Linked DNA regions of Canis lupus familiaris. The protein of the gene in region 1 binds, or shares a complex with, the protein of each later gene. Links are inferred from orthologs where the notes say so. Each region holds a gene or a part of one and is shown in the gene's direction. Other genes may lie near its edges. The genes, in order: RBL2, LIN54, E2F4, LIN9, MYBL2 and TFDP2.

Region 1 (3,500 bases):
TACATGGAAAAAGACAAAGATGCAAATTGATAAAACTGGGGGGGAATGCTCCCAGATGATGTCCTAGTAATATCAAGTCCCCTTGTTTTGAGTAGTGGCTTTACAGTGAAAATCACATTGTACATGAGTGTTAGGTAGAAATTGAATATGGTCAAAAGTATCATAGGAAAATAGAATAATTGTTTAAATTGCCCCTAAGTCATCAGGATTATGTAGTAGTAGAGGGCAGAGTTTGATTTAGCAGGAGCTGGAATAAAGTAGGGAGCATTGTGAAACAAATAGAGAAAAATTCTTGTGTTTAAATTTTGCTCTTAATAGTGTGTGGTTGAATTTTCATTAGTTGAATATACTTATGAATATGATCCCTGTAATTTTTGTTTATGAAGTATTTCAGATACTGATTAGTTTTGAACTTAAGAGCTTGGCTGGAAGTTAGATCTCAGTTTCCTTGAGTTAAACCATTTGTTTGATTTTTTTTTTTTTTCTGACCCTAGGCATAACATCTCCAGCCACATTATATGATAGATACAGCTCCCCAACAGCCAGCTCTACCAGAAGGCGGCTATTTGTTGAGAATGATAGCCCTTCTGATGGAGGGACACCTGGGCGCATTCCCCCACAACCCCTCGTCAATGCTGTCCCTGTGCAGAATGTATCTGGGGAGACTGTTTCTGTCACACCAGTTCCTGGACAGACTTTGGTCACTATGGCAACAGCCACTGTCACAGCCAACAATGGACAAACAGTGACCATTCCTGTACAAGGTAAGGAAGGCAGAGTTGAATATTGAGTTCTTTCTCGGTGGCATTTATTGGAAAGTCACCTGAGATTTGGCTGGAATGACAACAGGAGATAAGGGGGCGGGGGGGGGGGGGAAGGAGGCTAGGAGGGGAGAAACTGGAAACCCGTGCCTAGAGAACTTTTCATCATCCTCATCTTCTCCCTAACAAACTATAGGTATTGCGAATGAAAATGGAGGGATAACGTTCTTCCCAGTCCAGGTCAATGTTGGAGGGCAGGCACAAGCCGTGACTGGCTCCATCCAGCCCCTCAGTGCTCAGGCCCTGGCTGGAAGTTTGAGCTCTCAACAGGTGACAGGAACAACCTTGCAAGTCCCTGGTCAGGTGGCCATTCAACAGATTTCCCCAGGTGGACATCAGCAGAAACAAGGCCCACCTTTAACTGGCAGCAGTATTAGACCCAGGAAGACCAGCTCTTTATCACTCTTCTTTAGAAAGGTAATTTTTCATGTACCCTTATCAGGGTATAAGCTTGGGAAGTATAAGTGTTAGGTAAACAAACTTTGAAATGTTTTTGTTTATCTACCAGGTTTACCACTTGGCAGGTGTCCGCCTTCGGGATCTTTGTGCTAAACTGGATATTTCAGATGAACTGAGGAAAAAAATCTGGACCTGTTTTGAATTCTCCATAATTCAGTGTCCTGAACTTATGATGGACAGACACCTGGACCAGCTGTTGATGTGTGCCATTTATGTGATGGCAAAGGTGAGTACCATTTGGAATATAAAAGGAAAAAGTAAAGATGCTACTTCCTTACTCTCAGAACACTTTTAACAGTTTTGTTGAGCTATAATTCACTCATTCATTCATTCATTCATTCATTCATTCAAATAGTCCCCACACCCAGTGTGGGGCTTGAACTAACAACTCTGAGATGAAGACCTGAGCTGAGATCAAGAGTTGGATGCTTAAGTGACTGAGCCACCCAGGCACCCCTTGGTTTGCTCACTTAAAATGTACAGCTCAGTGGTTTTTAGTACATTTATAGATATGTGCAACCTTCACCACAGTAAATTTTAGAACATAATATTCCATTGTATAAATATATGACATTTTGATTATCTGTTAATTGATGGCCATCCGGGTATTTTCACTTTTTGACTATCATGAATAATGCTATGAACATTTGTGTACAAGTTTTTGCATAGACATGTTTTCATTTCTCTTTTCTATATACCTAAAGGTGGTGGATTGCAAGGTCTTATACTGTGTTTAACCATTTGAGGAGCTGCCAGACTGTTTTTCCAAAGTCACTGCAGCATTTTGTATTTCTGCTAGCAGTATATGAAGTCTTCATTTCTCCACCTTCTCATTAGCACTTTTTATTATCAGACATTTTTCTAAAATAATTTATTGATGTGAAATTCATATAAATCAACCATTTTTAAATGAACAATTCAGTGGTACTTAGTACATTCCCAATCTTGTACACCCAGCCTTTATCTTGTTCCAAAACATTTCCATCCCTACAGAATAAAACTACTTACTTATTAAATAGGTTCTTTGCATTCCCCCTCCCTCAGCTCCTGGCACCCATCATTCTACTTTCTGTCTCTATGAATTTGACTATTCTGGGTGCCTCTAGGAGTCCTACAGTATTTGTCTTTTCGTGACTGGTTTATTTCAGTTAGTATAACATCCTCAAGATCTTTCTGTGTTGTAACATGAGTTATAATTTTCTTCCTTTTTAAGGCTGGGTAATACTCCATAGTGTGGACATATCACATTTTGTTTATCCATTCATCCATTGATGGCCACTTGGGTAGCTTCCACTTTTTAGCTATGGTGAATTGTGCTACTATGAAGATGAGTGTATGAATATCTTGTTGAACTTTTAGTTTCATTCTTTTAGGCATATACCCAAAAGTGGAATTGCTGGGTCATATGGTAATTTTAGGTTTAGTTTTTTGAGAAACTTGCCGTGTTTTTGACAGCAGCTGCACCATTTTACATTCCCACTAGCAGTGCATTAGAGTTCTAATTTTTCTACATCCTTGCCAGCTTTTCAATTTTTTATTATAGTCATCTCAGTATTGATTGATACATTATGGGTTGTTTTTTTTTTTAAGATTTTATTTATTCATGAGAGAGAGAGAGAGAGAGAGAGAGAGAGAGAGGCAGACAGGAGGCAGAGGGAGAAGCAGGCTCCATGCAGGGAGCCTGATGTGGGACTCGATCCTGAGTCTCCAGGATCAGCCCTGGACTGAAGGTGGCGCTAAACCACTGAGCCACTGGGCTGCCCCCATTATGGTGGTTTTGATGTTTATTTTCCTAATGATTCATGATGTTGAATGTCTTTTATTGTGCTTATTGACTATTATTTGGGTTTTTTATTCTGGCCATCAGGAAATCATTTGTCTGCTGGTCATTTGTATATCTTTGGTGAAATACCAGTTTAAATACTTTGTCCATTTTTTATTTGGATTGTTTTGTGCTTTTCTATGGTTGAGCTGTAGTTTATATATTCTGCAGATATTTGTAGATACTTTGGGTGTTTTTCCACTTACTTGATGGTGTTATTTGAACCATATAGTTTTTAATTTTGATTAAGTCAATTTTTATATTTTTTCTTTGTTGCTTGAACTTTTGGTGTCTAAGAATACATTGTTATGTCCAAGGTCATCGATATTTATGTTTTCTTCCAAGAGTTTTATAGTCTTATCTCTTACATTTAGGTCTTTGATCCATTTTGAGTAATT
Region 2 (3,500 bases), on another chromosome or scaffold:
TGAAAACTCAGCACACAGATGTCAAGCTAATGTAAACCTAGAGTTCCCAAATTCTCTAGCTTGCCCACAACATGGAGACAGTTACCCTTTCTTTATTATCCAAATAGAAATCATCTGTTCTTCTGTCCCTTGATGTGACTGAGGGCAGGCCACACACTCCTTCCCATTGTTGCAGAGACCACCAGGAAGTTCTTACTTTCTGGTTGTTAGGGCCACTTCAGAACTGCTGCTCAGTGTGCTCCTGGAGTGATGAGCAACATCTCCTCTCCAAGGAGCAAGTGCTGTAGGGGGTCTACTCTTCTGTGTTCCAAGCAGGAATTAAGGCTTTTCATTCCTTTCAGTTCACCTTTTAATTCTTTTTAGTATTGCTGAGACCAGTCTACAGTGGTTATTAGGACTAAAGCTACAGCAAATGAAGAGAATCAGAACAGCAAATAATTTTAAATCAGGTATCAGATGTCACTGCTCCTGTAATTCATGGTCCTATACTCTTTTTGTATAACCATCTTATTGAGATGCAATTCGTGTCTACTATAAAAATTTACCCTTGTTAAGCATACAGTTCAGTGATTTTTAGTGTATTGAGCGAGGTGCGGTCATCAGCACTAGAGCACCTTCTGGAGGTATCCCATTTCCCCCTTCCCCTTCTGTCCCCTTGCTGCAGGGGGGGGGCCCCCCCGCTCCCTTTTAGTTCAGAATGCTGTCACATGTTCTTCCAGGATGCTCAACTTTGTGTCTTTAGCCATCAAGTCTCCCAAGCATTTTTATTTAAGGAAGTCTGTTCTTTTTCTTTTATTGTTCAGGGACCAGTATAGATCCCATTATCTCAACCTCTCTCTTTCAGACCAGGCTCTAGGTCTTTTTGCATAAATAAAACCGGAAGGGATATCCTTCCTGTCTTTTTTAAATCCCTTTGTTAGATTTTGTAAATGGCAGTAGACGGTATTAAAAATTGTACTACCTGTGCTCCAAACTTACAGGCCTAGTGCCAGTCTCTCCTGAATTTCACCATAGCTTTTCTCTATGGCGGGTTCATCTTCCCTTCAAATCAGCTCATTCTCGAGGTTTTAGTTCTGGTAGCGGTCGTTTTCCTGGTCACTTGAAGCTTAACGCTCACTTATGTATTCTCCCCTTAACACATGCAGTTTCTTGCCATCCACTTGGCAGTTCACATTCCTTTCACCTCCACCCTGTCTCTTGCAACTGCGCTCTCCTGTCTGTCACCTCAGGTAGATCCTCACTTCAGATACTCTTCTAATTTTCCTTGTTTCATGAAACTCCATCCTGTCTTACACACTGCTGCCAAATAGTTTCTCTTTGTGCCAGTCCAGTAATATTTCTGTACTTCGAAATCCTCAGAAACTTCTCACTGCCCACTGAATTTAAAAATACTGATTAGAAGACTGATGAATCACTGGCCTCTACCTCTGAAGCCAATGATACATTAAATGTTATTTAATTGCATTTAAATAAAAATTTTTAAAATAAAGTGGATATACCCCACCACCACCCCGAATAGAGATTAAATATATACATTTCTACCCTGACATTCAAGACTTGTGCTTGCCTAATTTAACCCTAGGTTCCAACTAATCTGATCTGTTCACCACCATTTTGTGAAGTGCTTTGCTATTTTCCGGCATCGGGCCTCCACTTTTCCTGCTTCTGCCTGGAATGTCCTGCTCCAGTCTGTGTGCCCTCTCCTCAACCTGACCATTGATCACAACCCATCTCATACACAGTGCCCTTCATGCATCCTTTCGTATTCCCATCCTCTGCCAATCACACATACGTTCTATCTCCCTTGGACTCTAAAGCGCTTTCTCTGTTTTAACCGTATTTATTTTATTTGGTATTTGTCTAATATGCTTTACTTGAGTTTAATCTCTTTGAGCAAGTGTCTTGTACTCTAGTTTCTCTGGAACATAGTCCACGATGCCATTTGCATAGTTATAATGGTCGTAATAACAATACATTAATGGCAACTAACATTTATTGGGCACTTACTCTTTGTTTGATGCTGTTCTAATAAATTTTCATGGATTAACATATTTAATCCTTATACCCTGTAAGGGAGGTACTAGCCCCATGTTATAGATGAGGATACAGGCAAAGAGAGTTAGAAAGCAGAAGGATTGGGATTTGAGTCTCCAGGGTGTTATGACCTATGAGACCATATTCTTTACCCTCACGCTAGGCTGCCTTTTAGTAGGTACTCTGTAAATAATGAATTATACAAGAATGATATTTTCTCTGGTTTTAATACAAACATGGCAATTAGAGTATAGAACAGTATTGTTACTCAAGCTCCTGAATGGCAGGTTTTTTTTTATTTAAAGGACGTTTCAACTGACTAGATTTCGTAGGGAATGTTAAGTCATCTGAATACAGATAGAAGTGTTTTCAGTAGACTGTCTTAAATGACAAATGTTCTGTTGTAAAGCAGATAAACTATAGCTGCTACTGTAGCCATAAGTTTCCTGGTAGATGGGTTAAGGAATGTTAACAGGTGACTATCCTGATTAAAGATTGCTCCAAATTGGAAACAAATGGAATTCTTTAAGCTCTTTGAGGATATCTTGAGAGAACTAAGTATCTTCAATGTTTCAAGGACTATTTCCTGTAAATAAATTGTCCTTTCCTCCCTTTTTTTAAAAAGCAAAGCCAGTGGTGGTTAATACCACTCCAGTGCGGATGTCAGTTCCACTCGTCTCAGCGCAGACTGTCAAACAGGTGAGTGACACAGAATTTTTTTCTTCAGCATCTCCCAGACAGACAATTCACTTTTAAAATTGAAAGTTAAGATTCACGTAAGAGAGATTTATACTGAATGGAGAAGCTGTAAAATGTATTTTTGTAATCATGGGTATACTTTTTTTTTTTTTAAGGTTGTTCCCAAACCCATCAATCCCACTTCACAAATAGTTACCACCAGCCAGCCACAACAGCGGCTCATCATGCCTGCTACACCACTGCCACAGATCCAGCCAAACCTCACTAACCTGCCACCAGGCACTGTGCTGGCCCCAGCTCCGGGAACAGGGAATGTGGGTTATGCAGTGCTTCCAGCTCAGTATGTTACTCAGGTATGAGGAAAAAAATTGAGCCATTGCATTTCAAAAAGGATAATTTAGTCTAAGATGTATAGCCCTGTAACATTCTGAAAACTACTGAAAAACATCTTACTCAGTATGAGAATGGCTATCTCCAAAATCTTAAGATGCTAACAGAAACTTCTGAATTTATTTTTATGTATCCCTAGCATTTGAAATATCAGCAGAAGTCACATATGCAAGTCAGACACTTGAAAACTGAGATCAGTTTGGTGAGAGGACAGGACTATATAGAGAGAAGGGGGAGATGTTGAAATGAAAGTCAGCAGAATACAAGTGCATTTGGAGAGCGCTGTGACTGTGATCCAACTCTTCCTCACATATGAGGAGGATGCCACTGACTTGCTCCTGGAAAGTGGACTATAAGATGCATTACTAGGTGTCACA
Region 3 (2,862 bases), on another chromosome or scaffold:
CTCAGCCCCACTCTCTGGGCTCAGGGGTGTGGGGCCTGGCTGCAACACCCGGGAGATTGCGGACAAGCTGATTGAGCTCAAGGCTGAAATCGAGGAGCTGCAGCAGCGGGAGCAAGAACTGGACAAGCACAAGGTGTGGGTGCAGCAGAGCATCCGGAATGTCACAGAGGACGTGCAGAACAGCTGATATCCTCCTGGCGGTCCCTGCTCCCGGGGAGTGGGCAAGGGGCCCTCTAGTCCAGCTGGGTTTGCTCTGTGGTGCCCTAGGCACTGTCCCTCTTGGGAGGATGATCCTGCAACTCCTGGGCAGGTCCCTGCCTTGGCCTCCCTCCTCAAACTCAAAGCCCCTCCCCAACCAACCGTGGTCTGTGATTCTTCCCTATGTAGACCCCAGGTCCCAGGACTTTGTCTGAGAGCTTTCATGTCAGATCTCTGCTAAAGAGCTGGGTTTTCTCTGTGGTCTGCCATTTGTCACCATAGGCAGGGCATCAGCCGTTCTCCTTAACCCCCACACCTTGGCCTACGTGACTCATGAGGACATCTGCAGATGCTTTGCTGGTGAGCAGAGCCTGGGTAGGGGGACATGGGGGTGGGGCTGGGCTGAGCCACAGCCTTGAGCAGTGGGCTCAGTGCCCAAGGAGAGTTTAGTCTCTTAAGAGGGTTCCATAGGCTTGCCCAAAGAGGAACCAGGCAGGGTAAGTCCTGGGTTTGAGGGTCACCAGGACTCCATGAAGACAAACCATATTGAAAGGGTACAAGAGTTCTGGGCTGGGTCCCTAGGTCAGTCCCCATCTGCACTGTTCCCTGGGCTTGGCTTCTCGGACATGACAGAGGCATAAGGGGGACAGAGCATGTGCGTACGCATATGCATGATGTTCCCTTGCAATCTATCAGTTATTTGCATTACAAATACAGGAACTGCTCCTTCTTCATCCTGCATCCCCTAAACTAGTTTGGAAAAGGAACATTGGCCTTGGCCAGAACATCTTCTAGGGACCAGCCCCATCAATCAAGGAGTGAGATGCCTATGGCCAGCAATCCTTCAGTCCACACGTTTGAGCCCAGATTTTCTGGTTACTAACCCTTGGGCTCTTGGGAAGAGAAAAGCTTTAGTTTTCTGCCTCAGCCACTGTGGTGGGGGTCGGGTGAGGCTTACTATCCTAAGAGACCATGATTTCCTCCCTTGCTCAAAGGAATAGGTACCCCTATTCTCAGATTAGATTGAGCCCATGGGCCCTGACTCCTCTTCCTTGTCATTCTAGGAGATACCCTCTTGGCCATCCGGGCCCCATCGGGAACCAGCCTCGAGGTGCCCATCCCAGAGGTGGGTGCTCAGCCCAAGCAGGCGGGGTTGATTGAGGGCGGGTGCTGGCTGTGGAGCCCGATAAGTCCCGGGTGGGGCAGGTAGGGGGTGGCCTGGACTTGGGGTTTATCTAGAAGAACGGGCAGCCTAGGGTGGGAGAGGACACTGGCCCCGGCCCAGGGTTAGGCTGGCAGGAGCCAAGCCTGCTTCTCATTCCGCCTGTCCCTTACCCCCCACCTCCAGGGCCTCAATGGACAGAAGAAATACCAGATTCACCTGAAGAGTGTGAGTGGCCCTATTGAAGTGCTGCTGGTAAACAAGGAGGCATGGAGCTCACCGCCTGTGGCAGTGCCTGTGCCACCACCAGAAGATCTGCTCCAGAGCCCACCTGCTGTCTCTACCCCTCCACCTCTGCCCAAGCCTACCCTGGCTCAGCCCCATGACACCTCACGCCCAAGCAGTCCCCAGCTGACCACCCCCACCCCTGTCACTGGCATCACTGAAGCCCAGGGGGTGCCCGGTCCAGCAGCTGAGATCGCAGGTGAGGTAATAACAGGCAGCTGGTGATAGAATGATTTCTGGGGCCCGGAAGGCAATACCTCTGTGTTGTGGAATGCGTGCTCAGAGTTGGAAGAGACCTTGGGGAGGATGTCCTTTTCCTAACCTCCAGCTGGCCTCCCCTTGCTGTGGTCATAAATGAGCCCTTTCTAATAGGCTCTGATGGTGTGAAGGGATATTAGTGGTAACAGTTTTCCCCAAGTCCACTTGTGTCTCCATTCAGCCCCCCTTGAAGTGTGGTCACAGGAGTCATGTCATTCATGAGTCTCTATCCTGCAGGCCTCATGCTCCTGTCTCCTTTGGTGGCTCATTTCTGCATTACCTCTGCAGGGCGCTGGCCAGGGGCAGGGTCGGGGGGACTGGCAGTGCTTATCTCTCCTTGGGCCTGGGAACCGGGACTCTTGTCACCCCTACTGTGGGTTCTAGCACAAAACTTCAGTATCCCACTTCCTGCTCCCAAGTGACTGGGTTCAGGGGATCTGGTTGCAGTGAGTGGTGGCCCTGGAACGGACAGCAAGGACGGTGGTGAGCTTGGCTCCCTCCCACCGGGCCTGGCAGCCCTGGACACTCGGCCGCTGCAGTCCTCTGCCCTACTAGACAGCAGCAGCAGCAGCAGCAGCAGCAGCAGCAACAGCAGCTCATCCGGACCCAACCCTTCTACCTCCTTTGAGCCCATCAAGGCAGACCCCACAGGAGGTGAGTGCATGTTCCCTGAGGGGCAGGGAATCTGGCCGCAGCCACTTCTAGGTCAGAAACAGCTGGGGCTGGAACCTAGCTCTCCTGTCTCCTCAGCCAGAGCTGGCCAGCCCCCACATCAAACCTTGTTTTGACCCCAGAGCTCTGCCAGTCTGAGTGAGGAGCCTGGGCTCCACAGAACTCCCAGGCCCCTCTCAAGCCTTGCCTCCACCCCCACCGCCCTACCTCCCCACTCCCTCCCCGGGCACTCAGGTGTCAGGAAGGCATAATAGCTGTCCTGGGGATGGGGTGTGGGAAGGCACTCA
Region 4 (3,500 bases), on another chromosome or scaffold:
TTTATTCATGAGAGACACAGAGAGAGAGAGAGGCAGAGACATAGGCAGAGGGAGAAACAGGCTCCATGCAAGGAGCCCGATGTGGGATTCGATCCCGGGACTCAGGGATCACGCCCTGGGCCGAAGGCAGGCACTAAACTGCTGAGCCACCCAGGTATCCCCCTAATTTCTTTTTAAAAGACCTTATTGAAGTCTAATCTCTGTATCCAACGTGAGGCTCAGATTTACAGTCCCAAAATCAAGAGTCACATGCTCTACGTACTGACCCAGCCATGCCCCCCTGAAATTGTTTTATTTTCGTCCACTGATTTTTCCATAGTTTATGAGGCTTTCAGGGTATCTTGGTGTGATCTGAGTTCTAGAATTCCCAAGAACTGATATAACCCTCTAGAGTCCCTATTTTTCTAAAATTTACTTAATCTCAAAGAGGACTCCTTGCTGTTGGTATTACCTTTGGGACAAAGATACTTTGTAGCTAACATTGTTCATCCTCACTGGATGTAATGACAGTGCCAAGATATACTAGGATACTCATATGTGAGATTTAGCAAAAATCAGAGTCTCCTGGAATCTCCAGCACAGACATTTCTTGAGTAAATTGTATACATTAATTGTTTCACAAATGCCACTTTTAGTTTTAACAGTTTGAAATTGTGCCAATTTTGTATATGTCCTGGGTAGAAGTGAAAGATGCATTTGAGGATTAGTATAATGTTGAAAATTGTAAAGCATATTTTGAATTTATGCCTCTGAAATAATTGTGATTAACCACTAAATTACCATTTCTGTCTTACAGACCACTCTTTGAAGGTGATAATGACTTCTGTGTATGTCTGAAGGAATCTTTTCCTAATTTAAAAACAAGAAAGTTAACAAGAGTAGAATGGGGAAAAATCAGGCGACTTATGGGAAAACCACGGAGGTAAAAATATTTTTATTTAAAATAAACCAGTAAGTTAGTTGGTAGTATAATTACCACATTGATTACTTTTCATCTTTGCAAAGACTAGTCCTGAAACATAACTTTTCAGAATCATTATATTTTAAATATATCCTGATAACTAGCTTTTTTTTTTTTTAATTTTTATTTATTTATGATAGTCACAGAGAGAGAGAGAGAGAGAGAGAGGCAGAGACACAGGCAGAGGGAGAAGCAGGCTCCATGCACTGGGAGCCCGATGTGGGATTCGATCCTGGGTCTCCAGGATCGCGCCCTAGGCCAAAGGCAGGCGCCAAACCGCTGCGCCACCCAGGGATCCCATAACTAGCTTTAATATAGGTGCTTTTTATATCGATGCATCTTAAAATTAAATACAGTTTCATTTTTCAAATTATAGGATTCGAACATAATTTTCTTACATTCTCTATGCCCCACTATGTTCCAAAAAATATTTAAGAATACACTAGAAAATATATTTGATCCTTTAACAATATGGAGGTTAGGGATGCCGACCCTGCACAGTCAAATCTTCATATAACTTTTGACTCCCCCCAAAACCTAACTACTAGTAGTTTACTATTGACTGGAAATCTTACTGATAATATAAACAGTCAATAACACATATATATTACTGTGTTCTTACAATAAAATAAGCTGGAGAAAAGAAAATGGTATTAAGAAAATCATAAGAACGGAAGATACATTTATAGTACCATACTATATTAAAAAATAAAATCCATGCATAAGTGGACCTGAGTGGTCACATCCTTGTTTTTTAGGAGTACACTATATTTAATGAAGCTCTCGGGGTATACTAATACATTGTTATCTTTTTAGAAACCATCTATCACCGCAAAAGCCTTCTTACATATTTTACTTTATATAAAAACAAGATAAAGGGGTAGGGTGAGATGGGTGAAGGGGATCAAAAGATAGAACCTTGCAGTTATGAGTCATGGAATGTAATGTATAGTGTGATGACTATAGTTAATAGTATTGTAAAGCTTTTTTTAAAAAAAGATTTTATTTATTTATTAGACTGTGAGAGAGCATGAGTGAAGGGTGGGGAGAGGGAGAGGGAGAAGCAGGCTCCCCACTGAACAGGGAGTCTGATGTGGGGCTCGATCCCAGGACCCCGAGATCATGACCTGAGCCAAAGGCAGATGCTTAACTGAGCCACCCAAGTGGCTGTAAAGCATATTTTAAAGTTGCTGACGGTAGATCTTAAAAGTTCTTATCACAAGAAAAAAAAATTGTAACTATATATGGTGACAGATGTTAACTAGACTTAGTGTGGTGATCATTTCACAATATATACAAATATTGAATCATTCTCTTGTACACCTGAAGGTTACATAGTGTCTTATATATCTATTATACCTCAGTAAAACAAAAACGCATTCTATCTAAAAACAAAAACAGAAAAACCCCAGAAAGAAAAATCAAGTGAATCTCTCCAATATGTTATTTTCTGAAAATTACTTTTCATGTGAAATGACTTTTCCCTTTGTAGTGTTATCTTGCTTTCTAACATAGCCACCCAGACATCCCTGGCTTCTTTGGTTTCTTAAAAGGGTTAAACATACACTGACCATACGACCCCGCCATTCCACTCTTAGGTATTTAGTTAAGAGAAATGAAAGCCTATATTTATACAAAAACCTATACACAGGGACACCTGGGTGGCTCAGCAGCTAAGTGTCTGTCTGTCTTCGGCTCAGGCATGATCCTGGAGTCCCAGAATCGAGTCCCACATCAGGTTCCCTGCATGGAGTCTGCTTTTCCCTCTGCCTATGTGTCTGCCTCTCTCTCTCTCTCTCTCTCTCTCTCTCCCTCTCTCTCTGTCTCTAGTGAACAAATAAATAAAATCTTAAAAAAAAACCAAACCTATACACATAAATGTTCATATCAACTTTGTTGTAATAGCGCCAAACTGAAAATAATACAAATGTCCACCAGTAGGTGAATGGGTAAACGGTGGCCATTCATAGAAATGGATACTGTTCTCCAATAAAAAGAATGAACCATTGGTACATGTAACAACACAGATTAATCTTGGAATAATTCTGCTGAGTGAAAGAAGCCTGACAAAAGAGTTCATTCTACATGATTTCATTTGTATAAGATTTTATTTTTATTTATTTATTTATTTTGTATAAGATTTTAAAAGGTAGAAACTATAATGACTGAGAGCACTTCAGCAATTGCTTGAGAAGTAGGGGTACAGAAATGGGAGGGATGCGAAGGAGGGATAATAAAATGCCACAAGGAAACTTTGTGGAGTGATTGATGTCTTCAAATGTTCATTATCTTGTCTGTGATGATTGTTTTATGGATATATATTTTGTGACACGAAAGCTATATTTAAGTTACTTTGATTCATCCCAGTATTTGAAAATAGAAGTAAAACAGTCCCTAAAGATAAGAGTAAATTCGGTATTTATGCTTCAAGGCAGGAAGTATGATTAAACATTTACACAGTGGTAAGCCTCATCTTTAGTTCTATATTGGTGTGCTCATGGGGTCACAGGGAAAATATCATGTTCTTCTGAATAGAATA
Region 5 (4,218 bases), on another chromosome or scaffold:
CCCCCCCCCCCCTTTTTTAATGACTTTTTTTTGACAACTAAATTAGGTGTCCCACATTCTGGTTATTTTGATGATTTCATTATGGTGTCTATTATCCCATTATCTTTCCTTCAAATGCAAAGTTTGGTTTAAAGGCTTGACTAGCTTTGAATTAGACATTTTTGGCAAGAATATCTTCTAGCTGATGCTGTGTATGTTAGACTGGTCCTCTATTAATGCAATTAAGTTCAATAGACTGGTTAAGGTAGTGAGCAGGGGTGTTTTTAAATTCAAACATGAAAAGTTAACAGACTTGAACAAGGATTTCAACTTCACTCTTAAAACACACTCAGAAAGTGATGGTTATCAGCCCTGTTAATAGCGTAAAAACAACTGCTGGAGGTTTTATTTGTTGAACTCCAATAGGTCTCTGATCAGAGAAACAGGAGTGTCCACGCGAAGAGGAGGTGATACACGGAGGAAGGGGAGACAGTGTTGTTGGGAACGAGGGTCTCTGCTCTCCCTAAGACCAAGAGGGAAAATTGGTGGTTCTTAGGATTCACACATCTACGATGTGGCTTTTGCTAAACTATTTGTTTATAAAACCAAATATGAGAGGTTTTACTCAAACTCCGTGCCCTAATGAAATTTTAAAAATTAAGTAAAAATCCAAGTAGTACGGAACCGAGGGATGTTGAAAAGAATCCCACCAGCCACTTCGGCCACTCAGCTCCCCTTTCTAAGACCAATGTTCAAATTTCTCCCACAGGCTTCAACAGGAAGAAATATCTTCAAAGAGAGTAACAAATCTTGCTGATCCCAGGTTTTGCCACGCGGCCCACCACCTTACCCTGGCGCCCGGCTCCCGCAGCTCACGAGGTAATCGGGAGAGAAAGGAACTTCCTGGAGTCGCAAATGTCTACAAGCTGCGCGAAGGGCTCCCGCAGCGTCGGGCCGGGCCGCCCCCCCACCTCCCTGCCCCCTCTCCGGCCCTGGCCTTTCCCTTCAGCCGTCGGAAGCCTCCCGGCGACGACACCCCCGACTGCGCGGCGCCCGCGGGACCGCGCGCGACGTACGAGCGCGTGGCAAGGCCGCCGGGCTCCCGGCCTCCGAGCGCAGGCGCCCCTGCTGACGTCAGGCGGCGCGACTCCCGCCATGCTCCGCGCGGCGCCGGAGACGGGGCGCGCGCCGGGTGGTCCGGCGGCCCGGACTACCCCGAGGGCGCCTGGAGGCCGGCCGCGACCCTCGCTCCGGTTCACAGCGGCGGCCACGGACTGCCAGCTGCACTCCAAAGGCTAACTTTTCCTCCGTCTTCGCAGAAAAGGGCGGTAATGGCGCCGCACGCCCTGCGCGGCCGCGGGGCCTGGCCGGGCTGTGGAGGTGGTCTCCACCGCCGCGGGACAAGGTTTCGGCGTCCCTGCGAGTCGTCCCCGGCTCGGTTCCCGGACAAGTGGCCGCACTGCCAAAGAAAGCTAAGCTCGTGAGAGCGGATGCCCTGGAGGCCCAGGGCGGAGGTCAGGGTTGGGCTGGACGCGGCGCAGGCATCAAGCCGCCCGGGCCTCTGGCGCTCATCTCCGAGGCTCCTCCCCTTACAGGAACGCCGGAAACTTGCATTAGGTGGTTCCTAACGGTACGGGAGAGCTTGGTCCTGGTCTCGGGGAGTCGAAGCGTGGATGTCGTGCGCACAGGAGACTGTAAAGCGGTATTTATTAAGCAAAGATGCAGGGAAAGCTCAGAGGTGAGAGGGGCCCCGACAGGGTTGCCACTGAGGGCTGTAGGGTTGGTCTTTTGTTGAAAGCCCGCCAGGGAACCCAGATCCCTTTAAAAAAATTTTATTTATTTATTTATTTATTTATTTATTTATTTATTTATTTATTTATTTATTTATTTATTTATTTATTAATAAAATATTTTGTTTATTTATTCATGAGACACACGGAGAGAGAGGCAGAGACACAGGCAGAGGGAGAAGCCCGCCCCACGCAGGGAGCCCGACGCGGGACTCCATCCCAGGACCCCGGGATCACGCCCTGGGCTGAAGGCAGGAGCTAAACCTCTGAGCCACCCGGGCTGCCCCCAAATCCTTTCAATATTAATCTATTGATACCATCATTAAGTAAGGACCCGTGATAACATCTTTAATGGGCTTACTTCCTTTCTCGGGTCCAGTAATTCCTTGTTAGTCACAAGGAACTGTTTGTTACATCAAGACCCCACTTCTGGCACCTGGGACAGGATGGTCTGGTTTATTTATCTCTGGTTTACTTTCATCTCCACATTTTCGGGATTTTTGTGAGCCTAGTTCCATGGCCCCCTGCCTAGCCTCATTTGTCCCTAACTCCCTAAGAGACCGAATTCTGGACCTATGTAGTTGCATAAAGGAGGACACAGCAGGGGCTGGCATGATCTGGACAAACCCAGGCAGATCATGTTGAGTTGGTTCCCCTCTTTTCTGGTCAGTAACCCCATACCCCTCCCTGTGATCAAAGAGGGACCCTTAGAATATTACAAATAGAACATTATCATTCATTCCCCCATAATTCCTCTTATCCCTTTGTAATCCTTTCTCTGCAACCATTTTTTGCTTTTATTGGTTCTTTTATGCAATTTTTACAATTGTATGTAAATGACCTCATACGGTATCTACTCAGACATAATTATTTTGAGATTCATATTGTATCAGCAGTTGCTTTTTATTGTTTGGTAGTATTCCACTGTATGGTTATATTTATTTTATAATTATCATTTGTTTATTCGGTCATCTGTTGATGGACATTTGGGTTGTTTCCATTTTGGGCCTATTACAAATAAAACTATGCAAAACTCGTGTGAACATATGCGCTCATTTTTCTTGGCTCCGTGTGACTGGATGGTTTTAATTTGCATTTCCCTGATGACATGGTATTGAGCATCTTTTTATGTGTTGCCCCTGGATATATTTTGGAGGTAGAGTTTTGAGGGTAGAGCCGATACGATTTGCAGAAAGATCCGGTAAGTGATGTGAGAGAAGACTCAAAAATGACTGCAACTCTGGCCAATCCCTGAGGACTTAACAATATTGCTTCTTCCTAGCATGCACTGGCTGTTCCCTCTGCCTGAAGTGTTACTCCCCTTATTGGCTACCTTGCAAATTCCCAAATCACCAAAGTCTGAATAACCTTTATTGTGGGCATCCACAGTGTGCAGTTTGTCTTTACCTTTATAGATTTAATTTTCTGTTCACTCATTTCCCTATTAGCTGATGGGCTTTTGGAGAGTTTTTGTCCATGCAACTCCTCTACCTATCAAGTAGTTCACGTGGAGAAGGGTGGAGGTTTCCTTCTGGGGTTGTGTTTCATAGCCTCAGGGACAAGAAGACAGCAGTCGTCTCTGCCTTAAGGCAGGCCTGCTCAGGCCACCCAATTAAACTCTGTTTAAATATCCTGCTGGCTGTTGAGCTGGCCCTGGATTAGGACACCCAAGGTCATTCTCTTCCTTTGTGTCCCTTACAAATTTTAAGTCCTCCCAGTAGAATGACTTAAGGCTGGGGCACTGGGTAAAGTCTAGAATAACGGGATGGGGTCTTTATTCTTTTCAAGGTAGTTTCCTCTTAAGACAGGGGCCCCTTGTCCCTGCCTTCTGAGTAGCCTTCATTATTAATGTAACACAACTAAAACTAAAGTAGTACTTCCTATGGGCTAGGAATTATTCTCAATGGTTTACACATATTTATTTAATCCTACAACCACCCTACGAAGTAGGTGGGTGTAGTGATTAAGAGCATAGGCTCTCGGGCGCCTGGGTGGCTCAGTTGGTTAAGCTCTGCCTTTGGCTCAGGTCATGATCCCAGGATTCTGGGATGGAGCCCTGTGAGCGAGTCTGCTTCTCTCTCTGCCCCTCTCCCTCTGCTATTTGCTCCCTGCTTGTGCTTGCTTCCTCTCTCTTTCTCTTAAAATAAATATAAAATCTCTAAAAAATACAGACTAGGGGTGCCTGCCTGGGTGGCTCGGTGGTTGAGCATCTGCCTTTGGCTCCAGTGGTAATCCTGGGGTCCTGGGATTGAGGGAGCCAAAGGTCCCAGAGGGAGCCTGCTTCTCCCTCTGCCTATGTCAATGCCTCTCTCTGTGTCTCTCATGAATAAATAAATGAAGTCTTTAAAAACCTAAAAGGTATAGACTCAAACTAGATAGCCTACGCTCAGGTTTGAATCCCTGCTTTGCCATTTGCCTGGAGTAGTATGGGTAAGGGGAAGGGAGAGAG
Region 6 (4,082 bases), on another chromosome or scaffold:
AATAAACACTATTGATTTGTTCCTGGAAAATGCGTGGTAATCACTCCACTGAGGCTTTTGCATTTTAGAATCGGTCCAAAGAGTACTGCATTTAACATTCCCCAACTCCTAGGAGTTTATCTATGTACAGTTTTGCAGAAATTGTCTCTCCACCCCACCTCAGAGAAAAGTCCAAAGGTGCTCTTTCACTTCCCTCACCTCCTTTAGATATTTCCTTAAATGGCATCTCTTCTGCCGCCTTCCCTGAGCACCCTATTTAATACAAGCCATCCCTCAAACACCTTTTCTGCTTATTCCTACCCCCCCACCATAGCACCTATCACATAATAGTTTACATTTTGCTTTTTTTCTTTTGCATATTTTCTTTCCCACCCCACGAGAATGGGAAAGAAAGCTCCTACGTGATTTTTCACAAAGGCACTGAATTGATAGACGAAATGTTTTAATTTTGAACAAAATGGGGCAGGTATTTGGGGGTGTGGGCTGCAATCTTCTCTTCAGCGTCTAAATGACATGGTGACCTGACCCGGTTTGGATTTTATTTGCCTGGGTATTGAGGAACCCACATCCCCAAGTGGTCTCTAACCGATTGTCGGAATAATTAATTGCGGGATGCCCACACGTGGCCTCAAAGTCACTTGTCCCCACCCTCCTCCTCGCGCTGCCCCCCGGGGGGGAGCCATCGAGGGCCTGGGGACCCAGATATAACCTCCTTAGTTCCTTTTTTTCCGAGCGGGAGAGAGAGATGGGGTTTTCCTGCTCCGGGCCTGGGGGATGGGGTTGGATGGAAAAGTCAGGATTCTGCCCCAAGCCCGGGGGAATGGGCGTGTCCACGAATTTTAGGCCTCAGGCCTGCAGCCCGCGCCGCCCGCGGCTGGGGAGCGGAGGGTCGGGTCGCCGCGGGGCAGCCCCTGCGACGCTCCTGCGAGCGGCCGAGCCCCGGGCCGAGCGCCGCAGGCCCCGCCCCCTCAGCGCGCGGCCCCCTCCCCTGCTCGGGAGGCCCGGGGGCGGGGTTTGTTTACTCCGTGCACGCACCGCCGGCCTGGCCAATCCGGGGGCAGCGGCGCCTTACGTCACTCGCGCCGAGAGCCAATCGGGGCTCACCGTGCTGCTCCGCCGCCAAAGCTCGCGCGGGGGAAGCGGGGCCGTGGCCGGGTTGGGCGAGGGCGACCAGGCGGCGGGGATCTGGGCTGCGGCCGCCGCCGCTTCTCGGCACGCGGGCGCGCTCCGAGCCTTCCTTTTTGGGCAGCCTCGCGGGCGCACGCACGGCCGGCGTCCCAGGGCCGCGGACTCGCGGGCCTCCGCCGGGCAGGCCGCGGATCGCCCACCCCTTCCCCCAGGGTGAGTCCGTCGGGACGCGGGCGCCACCGGAGCGGAGGCGCCGAGCCGCGCCCCAGGCTCGGAAGAACAGCCCTGAGCGGCCGCCTCGTCCTCTGCAGCCGAGCGGCGGTAAGGTCCGGGGCGCGGGCGCGGGCGCGGGCCGCGTGCGGAGGGCCTCCGGCCCCGGCCCGGCCCCTCGTGTTCCCGGGCAGCCCCCCCCCCCCCCAGGCCGTCTGTTTATTCCCACGGCGCCCCCGGGCCGGGCCGAGTCCCCCCTGAGTGGGGGTGGGGTGGGGTGGGGTGGGGTGGGGTGGGGGGCGGGACCCGGAGAGCCCCTCCCCCCTTCCCCTCCCCCCGCGCCCCGGGAGGGGGCGGCGACCCCGCGTCACGCCTCGGGCGGCGGGCGAAGGGCTGCTGTCTCCTCTCGGGTCTCTTCAGGTCTTCAGGGCAGAACGATGGCTTCTAAGTCTGGTTTTCCGACTTTTCCGCCGCCCATGACTCACACGCCTCCATCTGTCCCCGCCAGGTGTATTTCGGAGCCGCAAAGCTCCGTGCGCTTGCGAGAACCTCCCATGTCGCCCAAGGGAACTTCCCTCTAGAGTGGAGGGTCGCCTCGGGGGCCCGCGCGCCTGGAGGAATTGCCCAGGGCTAGGACCCCCTCCCCCGCTGGAAAATAGAGAGGTTTTGCAGGATCGGCTCGGGGACACGGTTCCGACCGGCCTCTGGCTCCAACTTTTGTTGTCTTGCCTCGTGGGGGTCTGCAACCGCCTTTTCCAGGTGTTTCGAGGACCAGCCTGCGGAGCATCTGGAACGAGCTCGGCCGGGTCAGGCGCCCCGCAGGAGTTGGGCGCGTTTGTTCCGGTCTCCCGCGAACGCGGGTTCAGAGAAGCGCCCCGTATTGTTTCTCTTTTTTTTTTTTTTTTCTGTCGAAACAGTTAACAGGCTCATCCCTTTTCATATTTGCTGCTGAAGCTCCCTTTGAGCCTTTGGTACGTTTCTCTTCCTCATTCTATCTCACAGGGCTCAGACTCCCTGTCCCACTTATTTGCTCTCTTTTTAGTAAGTCAGTAGCTCATTCTCTTCCTTCCTTCCCCTTTCTCCCCTAAATCTTAGTTTTGTGAATTTTCATTTGACTTCGGTAGCTTGATTTTTCTTCCTTTCTTCCCCCCCCCCCCCCCCCCGGGCCACTCTTCTTTTAATGGTTCGAGATGATCTTCACCCAAAAAATACAAAGTTATTCATTTGCCCTCTGTTAGGACTGTAACCATGATCCAGGCTGTGCTCAGAATTAAACGCAAGATAATGTAGTTGATCTGACATTGCATGTTGCTTTTCTGTTTCCTTGGCTAGCCTATAATCTAGCTAAAGCTTCGTCACTATCCTATTGCTATGATAAATCTTTAATAGTAGCGTCCATTCTCGAGTAACACCGGGAGAAAAATCAAATGCCTAGACCCCAGATTCTATCACCCTCGTGTACTGGCTCTGGATGCTTTTATTTATTAGAACATCTTGTGCCTGGAACTAGAGTCTGGTCTACTGGCAGACACGGTGTCTGTAGCACTGTTCTGGCCGTACAGTTGCAGTTTCAGCAATGTGGCACCTATATTTAATAAAGGCTCAACGCTTATTCCACGTACTTTTGAGTCCTCTTTATTTCTAGCGGTTTAAGAGGGAAAACGGAATTTTTCAAGTGTGTAATACTTCATATTACCAGTCTGTGATCCTGTAACTTTCTCCTCCACTCTTTTAAATGTGTAGTCCGAGTGGCACTTTTCAAAGTTTTTCCCTTGCAGCCAAAAACTCTTAACTGTCTGAGCTGTGTGCTCTCAATGCAAATTGAAATTGGACGTACAGATGATTATCTCCAATGTGAGAAGAATTTGTGACTGAAAATTATGCACTAAAAGATACTTTAAAGGATTCAAAGACTTTTTTATAATTAGGAATTTAAATGTGAAGGGACTTTTTTTTTTTAACATGATAGAAAAACTGGCTTTGTCCTGCTGTTGCTAATTTATGTTTTATATTTAAAAAATGCATGATATTTACGTTGCACCACAGCATTTTAAAGCCCTTTTAGATATTTGAAAGTTTTAATTTTATCTTATTTTTTAAATTTTTTATTTTATTTTTATTTATTTATGATAGTCACAGAGAGAGAGAGAGAGAGAGGCAGAGACATAGGCTGAGGGAGAAGCGGGCTCCATGTACTGGGATGCCCGACGTGGGATTCGATCCCTGGTCTCCAGGATCGCGCCCTGGGCCAAAGGCGGGCGCTAAACCACTGCGCCACCCAGGGATCCCTATTTGAAAGTTTTTAGAACGCTATGAGGAAACAGACTAAGCAAAAATTAAATTCATGGCAAAGGTAGTGAATTCGAACATAAATATTCTGACTTCTATTGTTAGTCTGTCATTCTTAACAGTTAACTCAGAAATAAGATAAAAAGGAAGAGTTTATCTCTCTCTTTGTCTCTCATGAATAAATGAAATCTTTTTAAAAAAAAAAAAAGGAAGAGTTTATTTATGTTTTTTTTAAGATTTTATTTGTTTATTTGACAGAGAGAGCACAAGGAGAGCGAGCTGCAGAGGGAGAGGGAGAAGCAGCCTCCCCACTGAGCAGGGAGCCCCACATGGGGCTTGATCCCAGGGCTTTGATATCATGACCTGAGCCAAAGGCAGGTGCTTAACTGACTTGAGCCACCCAGGCACCCCAAGAAGGGAGCGTTTAAAATAAAGCTTTGTTTGTTTGTTTGTTG

What was found.
Region 2: RBL2 (region 1) and LIN54 share a complex: the UniProt entries of both Homo sapiens proteins name them as parts of the DREAM complex. The link is inferred for Canis lupus familiaris from reciprocal best matches to the Homo sapiens genes RBL2 and LIN54.
Region 3: RBL2 (region 1) and E2F4 share a complex: the UniProt entries of both Homo sapiens proteins name them as parts of the DREAM complex. The link is inferred for Canis lupus familiaris from reciprocal best matches to the Homo sapiens genes RBL2 and E2F4.
Region 4: RBL2 (region 1) and LIN9 share a complex: the UniProt entries of both Homo sapiens proteins name them as parts of the DREAM complex. The link is inferred for Canis lupus familiaris from reciprocal best matches to the Homo sapiens genes RBL2 and LIN9.
Region 5: RBL2 (region 1) and MYBL2 share a complex: the UniProt entries of both Homo sapiens proteins name them as parts of the DREAM complex. The link is inferred for Canis lupus familiaris from reciprocal best matches to the Homo sapiens genes RBL2 and MYBL2.
Region 6: RBL2 (region 1) and TFDP2 share a complex: the UniProt entries of both Homo sapiens proteins name them as parts of the DREAM complex. The link is inferred for Canis lupus familiaris from reciprocal best matches to the Homo sapiens genes RBL2 and TFDP2.

Annotation. Positions count from the first base shown.
Region 1 is NC_049223.1:61,545,706-61,549,205, reverse strand, and holds part of RBL2 (retinoblastoma-like protein 2), read left to right. Parts: intron 1-494; coding exon 495-764; intron 765-957; coding exon 958-1,238; intron 1,239-1,329; coding exon 1,330-1,506; intron 1,507-3,500. UniProt on the Homo sapiens protein: Key regulator of entry into cell division. Directly involved in heterochromatin formation by maintaining overall chromatin structure and, in particular, that of constitutive heterochromatin by stabilizing histone methylation.
Region 2 is NC_049253.1:33,112,919-33,116,418, forward strand, and holds part of LIN54 (protein lin-54 homolog), read left to right. Parts: intron 1-2,659; coding exon 2,660-2,733; intron 2,734-2,888; coding exon 2,889-3,086; intron 3,087-3,500. UniProt on the Homo sapiens protein: Component of the DREAM complex, a multiprotein complex that can both act as a transcription activator or repressor depending on the context. In G0 phase, the complex binds to more than 800 promoters and is required for repression of E2F target genes.
Region 3 is NC_049226.1:82,757,757-82,760,618, reverse strand, and holds part of E2F4 (transcription factor E2F4), read left to right. Parts: intron 1-24; coding exon 25-186; intron 187-514; coding exon 515-558; intron 559-1,262; coding exon 1,263-1,324; intron 1,325-1,546; coding exon 1,547-1,844; intron 1,845-2,350; coding exon 2,351-2,557; intron 2,558-2,862. UniProt on the Homo sapiens protein: Transcription activator that binds DNA cooperatively with DP proteins through the E2 recognition site, 5'-TTTC[CG]CGC-3' found in the promoter region of a number of genes whose products are involved in cell cycle regulation or in DNA replication.
Region 4 is NC_049228.1:38,546,401-38,549,900, forward strand, and holds part of LIN9 (protein lin-9 homolog), read left to right. Parts: intron 1-796; coding exon 797-922; intron 923-3,500. UniProt on the Homo sapiens protein: Acts as a tumor suppressor. Inhibits DNA synthesis. Its ability to inhibit oncogenic transformation is mediated through its association with RB1. Plays a role in the expression of genes required for the G1/S transition.
Region 5 is NC_049245.1:31,961,586-31,965,803, forward strand, and holds the start of MYBL2 (myb-related protein B), read left to right. Parts: upstream 1-1,418; 5' UTR 1,419-1,652; coding exon 1,653-1,717; intron 1,718-4,218. UniProt on the Homo sapiens protein: Transcription factor involved in the regulation of cell survival, proliferation, and differentiation. Transactivates the expression of the CLU gene.
Region 6 is NC_049244.1:38,451,248-38,455,329, reverse strand, and holds the start of TFDP2 (transcription factor Dp-2), read left to right. Parts: upstream 1-1,282; 5' UTR 1,283-1,449; intron 1,450-4,082. UniProt on the Homo sapiens protein: Can stimulate E2F-dependent transcription.